2 linked regions of the Solanum lycopersicum genome follow. Each later gene encodes a partner of the first gene's protein in a complex. Links are inferred from orthologs where the notes say so. Each region holds a gene or a part of one and is shown in the gene's direction. Other genes may lie near its edges.

Region 1 (5,774 bases):
TTCATTCCTTTACTAAAAATAAATAATTTTCTGAAGAATTTGATTAATATGAGATGCCAAGCTTATGGAATCTCATTTCTCTATATCATGCATGATAATGCATAATACCAGGCCTATCTGGTTTATTGGCTCGCAGTGGGTCCATACTATTCGTGAGTGGTTATTATTGCTGTTGACATCAACAGCTTGAGCTTTCTGCCCCACTAACGTCATAGTTCCACCCATAGGTTAATGAATGTAGTCATTTTGCTAATTATTTGAAGTCTTAGCTCAACACTATTATTTCTCCTAATGATTGGCGTCTGTCTTTCCATTTATAGAAAGGGAAAATCTAATCCATTTTCATGGTTCATGCTACAGTGGTAGAACAACTGCAAATTATTGTCTGACCTATTGAAACAAGTTATGTTCCGTCTCCTTTCTGAGTATGATAGAAAGACGAATACTATGGAATGAGAACAAAAGGAATGGCGTTACAGTATCCAGAGAGTGATATTTTACTTCTGCAGAGAATTGCTGTGTTAATATCCGTTTCTCCTTCATTATGGCATGAATAAGAGAAATTCACTTGAGTTATGATCCAAAAAATGAGAAAAAGAAGACTGAAAAAATCTCAAGTGTTATAGAGTGAAAACAATAGTTTATTTATGTTCAGTTTGCATAACATTTCTGTTTGCAGTTTCCCATGGGATGTTCCGCTTCCTGCATATGCGGTCATTCTAATTATGAACCTCACCATGATTGTAAGGGCTTTTCATTCACATTAAGAATGCTCTTAGAATCCCTTATATTCTAGAATATGCTAAGATCATGTAAATGTACTATAGCTTGATTTATTCCTGTAATTATGTTTTTAATTCTATTTCCCTTCTTAGAACACACACTTTTCTATTAGAACTCCAATGGCTTAGAGAATAATCAAGCTTTGCTCTCTCTCATTTTCTCTTTCCTTCTCACCGTGATCACTTTCAAGTAAGTGTTGTAGTTATTTGCAATTTATTGGAATAGTGACTTATTTTGTTAAAATTCCAAACAGATTAACTTACTTGACAGTAAGGAGCTCCAACAAAGAGTGAAAGTTTATCTCTTAAATCGTGGCCCGCCTGAGCATTGGCTTTCCCCTGGACCTTTCAAGCGTGTGGAATTGCAGAAAGCTCTTGGAAATTATCTGTCATGGAAGGAGAGGTAACAAAGTGAACATTTTTTGTTCTTCAGTGTTTTCTTTTGTTTGGTTGTTTGAAATGTTTATACTTCAGCCGGAGGTCTATCAGAAACAACCTCTTTACCTCTTAAGGTAGGGGTAAGGTCTGTGTAAACTCGAACCTCCCATACCCCACTTGTGGTATTACATGTTGTTTAACATCTTGGACATTATCATGTGCAATAAAAAAGTTCGTTATAGTTGGTGAATGTCGAAATTTTAATCGTCAAACCAAGTATCTCTTTGGTTATGTCCAATGCTTATGCATAGCTTCTATTACCATTGTTATACTAACATTTATTTTATGTAAAAGTGAGTAAATAAATACACCCATGTTTGACTTGATACAACTTCAATTGGATCAAAATGAACTTTTTAGCTCAGATTCAGTTTTCAATGTTTTATCATCAGTATAAAAGTTCTACATTTTTTTGTTCAAATGTATTTCTGATACTGGATCAGACAGATTTATATGATTCTCCTGATCGAATCAATTGAGATTCAACTTCATCTGTTTGATGTATTAGAATTGCATTTAGATACCCAAGATAATAACCTACTATCTTGTCTGAATTGACATGGAGATGGTGCTTTGTTACATCTTTGTGTAGAAGTACACACGGTGCTGAAAAATTTATAGTGACACTTTTAGTGTCATCCTTGAAGTTTTCTGAGGCTCTGGCTAACTTGGTTGACTAGTACAACAAAACCCACTTGACATTTATCTTGGAGAATCGATCCAATTAAACATAATTTGCTGCAACACACATCTTTTGAGCTCTGATCATTGGAAAATGCATAAAAATTCCTCTAGTTATATTTAAATTATTCACATGCTTATTGTTACCACTTCTCTTAAATATGTGATCACTGTTCTATCAAGTCCTTGAATAACATTATCACACACATTTACACCCAAGTGGTGTAGCAAACTCCAAATTCTTTTAAGGGAAAAAGGACAAATATAACCCCGAACTATCGTTAATAGTATATAAATACCCTTCGTCATACTTTTCGTTCATTAATACCCTACCGTCCGAAAATCAGTGCACATTTACCCCTCCCACTAACGGAAACCTTATTTAGTACACCTGTCGCAATCCTACCGCTCAACCTGATTTAATTAATTATTTAACCCAAAATTCAATATCCACCCATACCCATTTAACCCACCCAATTTACCCATTACCCATTTAACCCACTCAATTTACCCATTACCCATTTAACCCACTCAGTTTACCCATTACACACAAATAAACCCATTTTCTTAAGTCATCTTCTTTATCTAGAACATTCATTATTATCAGGCCTCAACCACCATGAACGCTCACTCTGAAACTCAAGCAAGAATTGAAAAACTAATTCCAACTAGATTAAATCCTCAACTTTCGACAGTCTACGCCAGCAAGAGTTAATTTTCAGTCACCGTCTTCTCATACGAACTTGAATTTATGAGATCTAATCGACATATTCTCTGCAAGAATCTGTTGACCCACTTGCTATACCCAATGTTCCACTCACTTCCCCACTAGTTTTTGCTTCTTTTTGCCCCCACACTCCACTTCTCTGCTCTGCATGTTTTTGTGATGATTGTTGTTGTTTCTATGCTGGTAGTGGTGTTTTGCGGCTGCCATTGGAATTACTGCTTGGCCTCATGGTGGTCGAGTAAATATGATTCTAAAATTACTAATGCACAAACTATTGAATTTGAAACTTGTTTTGATCTGTTCCTACTTCGTTGAGATGGCCCTACTCTTCCAAGCACTTCCTATCTGCTTGCTGCCAAGTTCCAATTACTTTTCGTTTTCCGGAGAAGTTCCAGCAGCTTCTGACCTATCCAACAACTTTCTTGCATTTCTGAACATATTTTTAAGAAAGCTTCCAGAATGAACTAATGTAGTGTCTTGGATACATATCTTTACGATATGTTTGGAAGTTCCAGATTCTTGTTAAATAGTTAGAAGATTAAGTTGTCATGATTATTCTTGTAGATGTATCTAGAGCATCCCTACACAAGTATAAATAGGGGTGGCAGTCCTTTGTAGTTAACCCAAAAGAAAAATATCCACCTCGAAGCAATTCGTGCCAATTCAAAAAGTCTTCATCCATAACAAAGTTCTACTATCTTAATTCTTCCTTCTCCTTTCATAGCTTCCTCTCTTCAGTGGAATCTTCCTACCATAATTAACGATCTTGGCTAGCAGAAGGTTTTTCCAATTATATTTTCTTTTGTTATTCTCTACAATATCATGCCTTTGAGAACAAGTCTAAGAAGGTTAGGTGCCTGCACACCTAATCCCTTGATTTCTACTACCAAAGCTATTGCTAATCATCAATAGTAGTTCCTTCCATATTCTAGCAAGGAAACATAATAAACATCGTGAATTCAACACTATGGTTCCCATACCCTTTGCTGCCCATGATTATTTACACAACTAACTTCAGTTCTTAGGCTACAGGTTCAAAATTCAAGACTAAATTCAAGTTTACTCATGAAAATTTGTCTATTTCCTTCTGTCTGCTAAAATCTTCTTGGTAGATTACTGAGTCCGAATTTAATCTTTTCAAGTAGCTGTATACTATGTGGCTTTTTTTCCATAAACGTGAGCCAATATGAAAATGCAGTTTTTGAACCTAAATGAGGAGACCATTACAAGTATGCAAAACCCTTTGTGCCGTGGTATGCGTCGCAGAAGAAACTACCTGTACTTGGCTCACTGACAGCTTTTTTCTGCATCTTCTACGGCATGGGAATTTCTTCCACTGCTTTATCAATATGAACTTTCTGCCTCTATCTTCCTGAAGTACGAAGTTTAATATGTCCATGTCATAGGAGGCCCACAGTAGTACTAGCAACTTGGTTTTACTTTTATTTGACATCCTGTTTTTGTAGATGTTGTCGTTGTGTGATCAAAGGGTCACAAGTTCAAGCCATGGAAACTCACTCTCGCAGTAATGGTTGGTAAGGGTGTTCACAATGGACTTAATGTGGTTCGGTCTTCCCCAAACCCAGGCGTGGTGCACCCGGCTTCCCCTTTTGTTTAGACCCTGGTTCCGCCAAACATCCTGTAACACATGTTTGTTGCCTTGAACTTGATCTTTATATCATTTGAAACTTGTTCGTGATTCAGGGTATTACGCGTTCACTGTCCGTCTAACGATTCATTTAATACTGTAAATTTTTGGGGTACATAAATTCATGTCATCTCACATACATCAGACACATATGGGACACATGAGGACTCTGAATGTCCATATCTTATGTATTCTTCTCCCTTTAGAAATTTGATAAGATGCGGAAAGACTTCTTCAGAAAACTACTTCTCAGGATACACATTCTTCCACTATTTCTAGTTCAATGAGATGAACAAGTGATAAATTTTCTAGTTTTTGTAGTACAGTTTGTTCAGCTCCCTTGAGATTTTTGCAAATGTTTTCCTCTATAGCCACGACAATATCACATACTTTAAGACTATCACTCTTTCAGATATGTTTAGTTGCTGACATCGGAAAACTAGACACATCTTTTATTGAAAAGAGTTTACTTCAAGGATAGCTCAGTTTGAAGTCATCCATAGAATTACAATCCACGTATGATACTGTTTTCTGAGTACAAACTTTATGCACTTCCAAGGTCTTTTATATTTAGCAGGCTAATAGTAGAAGAGTGTGAAGGATTAACAGGGTTAAAATGAGTCCTAAGGAACCCTAGTTTTCAAAATGATTGAAGATACATGAGTGTTTTTGTCATTAATAATTATCTGACTTGTTCTCTCTTACTGGGTCTTTTAAATATATAGTCCAAATGCATAAGGATAAAAGGGTTTAAAGGTAAATTCTCAAGGAACTATCTGATTTTCAAAATTATCACTGTCTTATAAGACGAGTTTGATGCCAAAGCAGGCTTTTACATCTATGCAGTTTGGTCATTTTTAGATGATATAAAATCACATGATTGGCTTAATAACATTTGAGCTGATTCAAAATCATCAAAAAATTCAAAAATAAATCATCAAAACAATTAGTGGTTGTTTGGTAGCTAATTAGAATTATACCGGTATTAGCAATGCATGAATTAGTTACAAGGTAATTTATGTATTTTTTGATGACCAAACAACGAGATAATTTATGTATACTTGCATAAAATAATACTTAGATTCTCTTGTAACTTATACGAGTATTATTTATGCATGTTTCTAAATCGCAAATCAATCACCGTTTTAATTTGATACATGAATAACTTACCTCATAACCAACTACCAAACATGGTATTGGTTATGCAATATTTGATACCTGCATAACTCACTTCCAATTCAGCTACCAAATGAACCCTTATTTATTACACCTAGCAACTTCTTGAGCTCTCCTTCAGGCTTTAACTAATTAACTTTATTTCTTTTTATTGTCTATGATCCATATTATATGGTATTTTTAACTTTTATTTTTACTTCTAATATAAATGTTCTGTTACATAATCAAGAAAACATTATTTTCATTTTTTTGAAATACCCTTAGTTAGATAAGTAAATTTTGACATAATGAAAAAATCATATTAAATGGGTACAGTTTTATC
Region 2 (6,330 bases), on another chromosome or scaffold:
TCACCCTCTAATACAACACTTGGATACTTCCAGGTAATAGCTGAGCCAGTCTCAACTTGTGTCCATGATATCTTCGATCTAGCCCCAGCACATATTCCTCTCTTTGTAACGAAATTATAAATCCCTCCTCTCCCTTCCTCATCTCCAGCGTACCAATTCTGCACGGTTGAGTACTTAATCTCTGCACCTTCATGGCAATACAATTCCACCACAGCAGCATGTAACTGATTTGTATCATATGAAGGTGCTGTACACCCTTCTAAATACTCAACGAAACTCCCTTCATCCGCAACAATCAAAGTCCTCTCGAATTGCCCAGTTTCCATTGCATTTATTCTAAAATAAGTAGATATTTGCATAGGACACTTGGTGTTCTTGGGTATATACACAAATGATCCATCACTAAACACAGCTGAATTAAGAGCCGCGTAAAAATTGTCTTCTGGGGGCACAACTCTAAACAAATACTTCCTGACTAAATCTGGATATTCCCTAATAGCCTCAGAAATCGAACAAAAAATCACACCAGACTTCTCTAAGGTCTTCCTATGAGTTGTAGCAATAGAAACACTATCAAGAACAGCATCAACTGCAACATTTGCTAAACGATTTCTTTCATTCAAAGGAATACCCAATTTATCAAAATACCTAACAAGCTCAGGGTCAGCCTCATCAAGACTATCTAAAGTTGGTTTCTTTTTAGGTTCTGAATAATAACAAATATTCTGAAAATCAATTTCTGGGTACTGATTATCAGACCATTTCGGCTCTTTCATTTTAACAAATTTCTCATACGATTTCAATCTATACTCAAGCATCCATTCAGGCTCATTCTTTCTTGATGAAATTAACCTAATAGTATCCTCCGAAAGCCCTTTTGGCAGCGCAAAAGATTCAATATTTTCATTAAAACCCCATTTATAGTCTCTTTTCAAGAATTTCTGAAGTGGGTCGCCTTCATTTGAGATTGATAAAGATGATTCTTTACCTGGAACTTCAACAGTGGCCTTCGCATCAGCAGCTTTAATCTTGAAATTACCTGGATTTGAGATTTTGGGGCCGGGTGAATTAGGCAAAAAGTTATACCCTTTTGGGAGTTTAGGCTGCTCAGCGATGGATTGAGGACAGAAGTGTGAGATTCCGTTGGTGAGAAGAGAAGCCATAGTTGATGCTTAGAAGATAGAAAGAAGCAGGATGAGAAGGCAAACATAAATTTTATTTGTTTCTTTTTTAATTTTTTGTGGTGTCTGATCTAAGATGTCGTATGCTGACCACGTGCATCTTTTCAAAGCCTAAATTACAACAACAAAAAAAAAACAATTAAAAAAAATAGTAAAGCTAAATTATTTTTGTTGCATTTTATGTCATTTAAGCGCTCACTTGATAATGATAAAGTCAGACTTTATGTTGAAAGGTTTAAAATAAAAACAAGTAAATGTGAAGAGTTATGACTGGTGTTTGTGCATGTTACTTTACAAATTAGGACTGGTGTTTGTGCATTATCTATAAGAACGGTGAAACTCAGAAAGTGACGAAATTTACTCAGAAATTCAATGGCGTTCATAAGAGAAATTTGTAAAATCCTGGGGAAAATCGTATAAGAGAGAAAATCGTCTAAGAAAAAAAAAGGGAAATCGTATTATGTTTTAGAGAAGTAAAATGAATGAAAATGAGAAAAAAATTAATAATTAAGATTTATGAGTCTACATGGAGATGATGTTTTTTGGTGCTCATGTGGCATCCATATGGTGTCCACGTGGCGTTCAGGTGACACTTAACACACCTTTGTTAAAATTAAGGGTAAAAATAACTCAATACTTTAATAGAAGGGCTAGAATTTAATTTAAAGATATATGTGAGCTAATTCGGATAATTCAGAAATATTTTTGAGCATTTTTCGTAAAATTTAATTGAAATAATGGTTAATTTTAGGTCTAATTTTAAAACAATTGTAACAGATTATCGAATCTACTTCGGCTCTACCCGGACCTCCAATTCTAGGGTTTTCAGGTAAGTTCTTCTCCTCTGTTTTCTATTCCTTTGTTCGATCTTTTCTCAAAATTCACCATTTTTGTTAGCAATAAAGGGAAGGATTTGGAAGATGGATATCATATCACAGTTACAGGAACAAGTAAATACAATTGCAGCTCTTGCTTTCAACACCTTTGGTACTCTTCAGAGGGACGCCCCTCCTGTGCGTCTATCACCTAATTATCCAGAACCTCCACCTGCTAATCCCACAGAAGACTCAGCTAATGTTGCAGAACAACCAAAGCAAATGAGTGCTGCTTTTGTTAAGGCTGCCAAGCAGGTGAAACTCCATACTCCATACCTTCACTTTTTCTGCTTATTCATCAACGAATATGAACAAGCCACAGACCAGGGTATAAAAGTAATCTGCGTGTACTTCGAGAATAGGGAATTTTCTCTTTTTTCGGAAGATCAAGATAAACTATTTAGTTTAGTTTCCTTTTTTGTGTAGACATTTTTTTTGTAAATGAGCCTGAATAAGTGATTGAACTTGTAGAATCCCTTTAAGAATAGGAAGGTATATCTTTGTGTTCCCTGTAAATGTTGTTGATTGCACCTTCTTGGTGCTGTATTACAAATGCACTTACCATTCCTTCAAAAAATCATTTTTGGACAAAATAATGTTTCTTTTGTCTTCTTTTGACTAGTATGTTTACTTTTGGAAACGTCAAATCTTTAGATATATGATGTGTTTGTGCAGTTCTATACAAGATAACACTAAGTTGTATCTTGGCTCATCATATCTAATGCGTACATGCAGTTCTATACCAGATGATATTAAGTCTTTGTTTGTTCAGACTTGAGACCTGCGTGGTTGAGTTCAAAGACCTTAGTCCTGATTCCTGAGACCAGTGTGGTTGAGTTCAAATACCTAGTCTTTTGTCCTTAGTTTAACGAGAAATACAATAATGCTATTAGCATCACCAACTACTTCAATAAAACTTGACTGAATCACATAATGGCGGACAAATTCCAACTACTAGCTGGACAGGATTGCATGCCTCTAGGGATTTTTACTAGAGAACTTGATGTCAGCCTCTCAGGTTTGGTAACCATGACATCTAGGCCAAGACTCACCGGGTAAACCTGGTGTCAAAACCGGAAAACTGAGTTCTAGTTTATCGCCCTTTAGCTGTCTTCTATGAAATGTATATGGACAACCCTGTGATTAGTTCTAAGGTGTTCAAGTTTACAGTTATGTTTCCCTTGTTTTCTTCTTGGCCTCACAATCAGAGGTTGTCTAATCTAGCATCCTATCAAACTTAAGCAGCACAGCCGACACTTGAGAGTAGCCTTGAGGATTGTGTGGCTCTAATTCAGACCAATTGCAAATTTTCATTGTGATCCTAAAGTGTATGCTTTGCTACAATGTCATTGTATTAAATCTATCTTCTCTTTTTCTTATCCTTCTTTGAGCAGTTCGATGTGTTGGTTGCTGCTCTTCCTTTATCGGATGGGAGTGAAGAAGCCCAATTGAAAAGAATTGCAGAACTCCAGGTATATGCTTCTTTGTGAATAATTGGTGGAATTCACTTTTTGACATCCTCTAATTCTGATGTGTTATAGCTTAACAGTATTTAAACTAAAAAAATAAAGAAGGATAAATAAAGATTAGTCTGTCTATTTTGGGCTTAGTAGTCTTACTCGGTTGTGTATGTATGTGATGTAGGCTGAGAACGATGCAGTTGGCCAAGAACTTCAAAAACAACTGGAAGCTGCAGGTAAGAGTTTGTTTTTCCCTTGCTTTCTTTCTGAAAGATAGTGGAAGCTGTTCTGATTAGGCTAAGGTCCAAATTTCCGTTTTCCTGTCTGTATTATTAATTTTTTGTTTATTCTGAGACTCAGTTTGCTGATTTTGGTGATTTAGAGAAGGAGCTAAAGCAGGTCCAGGAGTTGTTTAACCAAGCAACAGATAACTGCCTGAACTTGAAGAAGCCAGAATGAATAAGGTAGTAGATATTTCAGTTTGCTTGAGGAGCCCATTCTTGCTGGAATATACCCTGGAGGAACAACAAATTGATTGTGTCCATGTCTGTTATGGGTACATTTATTAACTAATTATAATTAGGCATGCTCTGACATTATTTTTTTTTTAAGTTCTTGGCCACTGCTGAAGAAAAGAATTCAGTATACTATTGTATCTGGTTTAGAGCTGTGTTTATAGAATGAAAAGAGGTAGGGATAATGTGCCTAAATAGCAAAAATCAGCAGTTTTTTTGTCTCCACATCCTTAAATATTAGTGTCTTCTGTGCCACGTGTTCAATTTAGAAGTTGGCTAGTTTCTCTGCTCCAGCACTTGTCAAAAGTTATGCAATTATCAGACTGACTTCGTAAACATGTGATCCCAAAACATGGCAGCTGGCATGCACAACTACCCTACCGAGTTGATGATTTTAATTCGTAGACACATTTTGGGCTGTGTCTGGGTACTTTGGGAGTTTAGATTGCATATCGCCAGAATATTTTCTTGTCGTGCTGGAACTGAGGCGTGGCCGAAAACAAGTAGCAACCACACAAAATATATAGAAAACCTTGTCTGCCTAATATGTAAGCGTGACAGCAACGAAGAGAAGAATTTACAGCCATCGGGGTTTGTTGAATGCTAAAATTTAGATAGAACGTGGGTCCAACTATGACTGGTAGAAGGACTCAACCACGTCATATGACAATTGGCATCAATACATGAATGAAGAAACTAACGCAGGAGACGTATTGAAGACTACAATACATAAGACATTTTTATCAAAATAAAACTATCACGGAAATCATTCAGACGATTGCAATTATTTTGGAGGAAACATTAGTAAGAATTGCTATTGAAAGGTGAACCAAAATGAGCAACGAGCAAAATAGGGTGTTCAGCATTGCCAGGATAGCCAAAAAGCACAAGTATACAGTTACATGCCTACACTTCTCCAAAGACCTTCAAGTATATCTAGATCTCATATCTAAGTAATAAAAGGGCAACGCAAAAATAAAAAAACAAACAGCATACAATCAGTTGATCGAAACCATAAATTGTATCCTCAATGAAATAGCCTACAAAGGTTTCCAACACCCTAAGATTGTGAAATACACATCTGGATCCCAACTGATAACCTCATGTCCCGCTTTTGAAATCAATACACAAATCACGCCGGGAAGCACTCAGTAAATCCTTTCACCAGCATATATCACTGCAAGGAGGAAGTGAGATAAGTATTCAAACAACTCATTATTTTTTATGAAAAAACTATTATCAGTTTAAGAACCCATTTGGCCATACAAGTAAAAAGATATTATCTCATAAAATTTCAGTCATTTCTATTCCAAAATGGAGATGTCGGTATAAAGTAGCTTTAGTTAATAAATAAGCTCAACGGGTTAATCAAACCTGAGGATGCTGCAAAACTTGCTGCTGCTGTTGAGGTTGTGCGTAATTTCCATATCCAGCATAGCCCGCATAATACTGATTTGGATCCTGAGCAGGGGGGGCATAACCATAACCTTCATATCCAGCAGTATACCCATAATAACCAGCATATTGGTTTGGATCAAGCTGAGGCTGCACATACCAGAGATGAAACATAAGATTCAGATTGGTATTTGACTGGCAAGTGCCGAAAACAGAAATTATAATTTTGGCATTCCTTACCTGCTGCTTGTTTGCAGGACTTCGACCCCATGAAAGACGGATGCTTTGTCCACCCAGCTGAGTTCCATTTAATACCCGTAGAGCTTCCTCAGCACAACTTCTGCAATAACAAGGATGGACCATGTGTTAATTCTCAAAGCGTTGAGAATTGAGATTGATCCTCTTGAGAAGGCTCATTTATTACTTTACCTGTCAGCAAACTGAATAAAGCCACACCGCTTGCCTACTGGTATTTTTACATGAAGCAACTGCCCATAGTGTCCAAAAATCTGCCTTAAATGTTCATCCGTTATATTGGAATCCAAGTTCCCAACAAAAATCTGCAACGAAAATTCATTTGGATATGAGTACAAGCCAAGAAAACATCAAATGATACCAGAAAGAAATGTACTGACAGTGGTATTAGATGGGTCGTCCTCATTTTGAGTTCCAGGTGAACTTTGATACGAAGCTGCAAATGGAAGAGGCAAATGTGAATAGAGGGTGAACTTTATGCTCCATGAGTAAGATGAAGTACATTGCACATTATTGCAATGAAAGGACAGTAGGAATACAAAACTAGAAAGCCTATGTATGTATCATAAATAAACCATAACTACAAGGCAAAGGCTGGTCAGAAAACTACCACTATCACCATCACTAGAACAAATAAGTGGAAAGGTAC

What was found. The genes of interacting proteins can lie anywhere in the genome.
Region 2: mediator of RNA polymerase II transcription subunit 23 (region 1) and mediator of RNA polymerase II transcription subunit 21 share a complex: the UniProt entries of both Arabidopsis thaliana proteins name them as parts of the mediator complex. The link is inferred for Solanum lycopersicum from reciprocal best matches to the Arabidopsis thaliana genes AT1G23230 and MED21.

The regions. Positions count from the first base shown.
Region 1 is NC_090804.1:17,738,210-17,743,983, reverse strand, and holds part of mediator of RNA polymerase II transcription subunit 23, read left to right. Parts: intron 1-1,036; coding exon 1,037-1,185; intron 1,186-5,774. UniProt on the Arabidopsis thaliana protein: Component of the Mediator complex, a coactivator involved in the regulated transcription of nearly all RNA polymerase II-dependent genes.
Region 2 is NC_090801.1:60,838,291-60,844,620, reverse strand, and holds mediator of RNA polymerase II transcription subunit 21, read left to right. Parts: upstream 1-2,101; coding exon 2,102-2,311; intron 2,312-3,450; coding exon 3,451-3,528; intron 3,529-3,700; coding exon 3,701-3,752; intron 3,753-3,876; coding exon of another isoform or gene 3,877-3,884; exon of another isoform or gene 3,885-3,898; coding exon 3,899-3,975; 3' UTR 3,976-4,256; downstream 4,257-6,330. Other genes in the region: iron-sulfur cluster assembly SufBD family protein ABCI8, chloroplastic, read right to left, coding at 1-1,163; polyadenylate-binding protein RBP45, read right to left, coding at 5,206-5,208, 5,406-5,576, 5,667-5,766, 5,856-5,986, 6,062-6,117. UniProt on the Arabidopsis thaliana protein: Component of the Mediator complex, a coactivator involved in the regulated transcription of nearly all RNA polymerase II-dependent genes.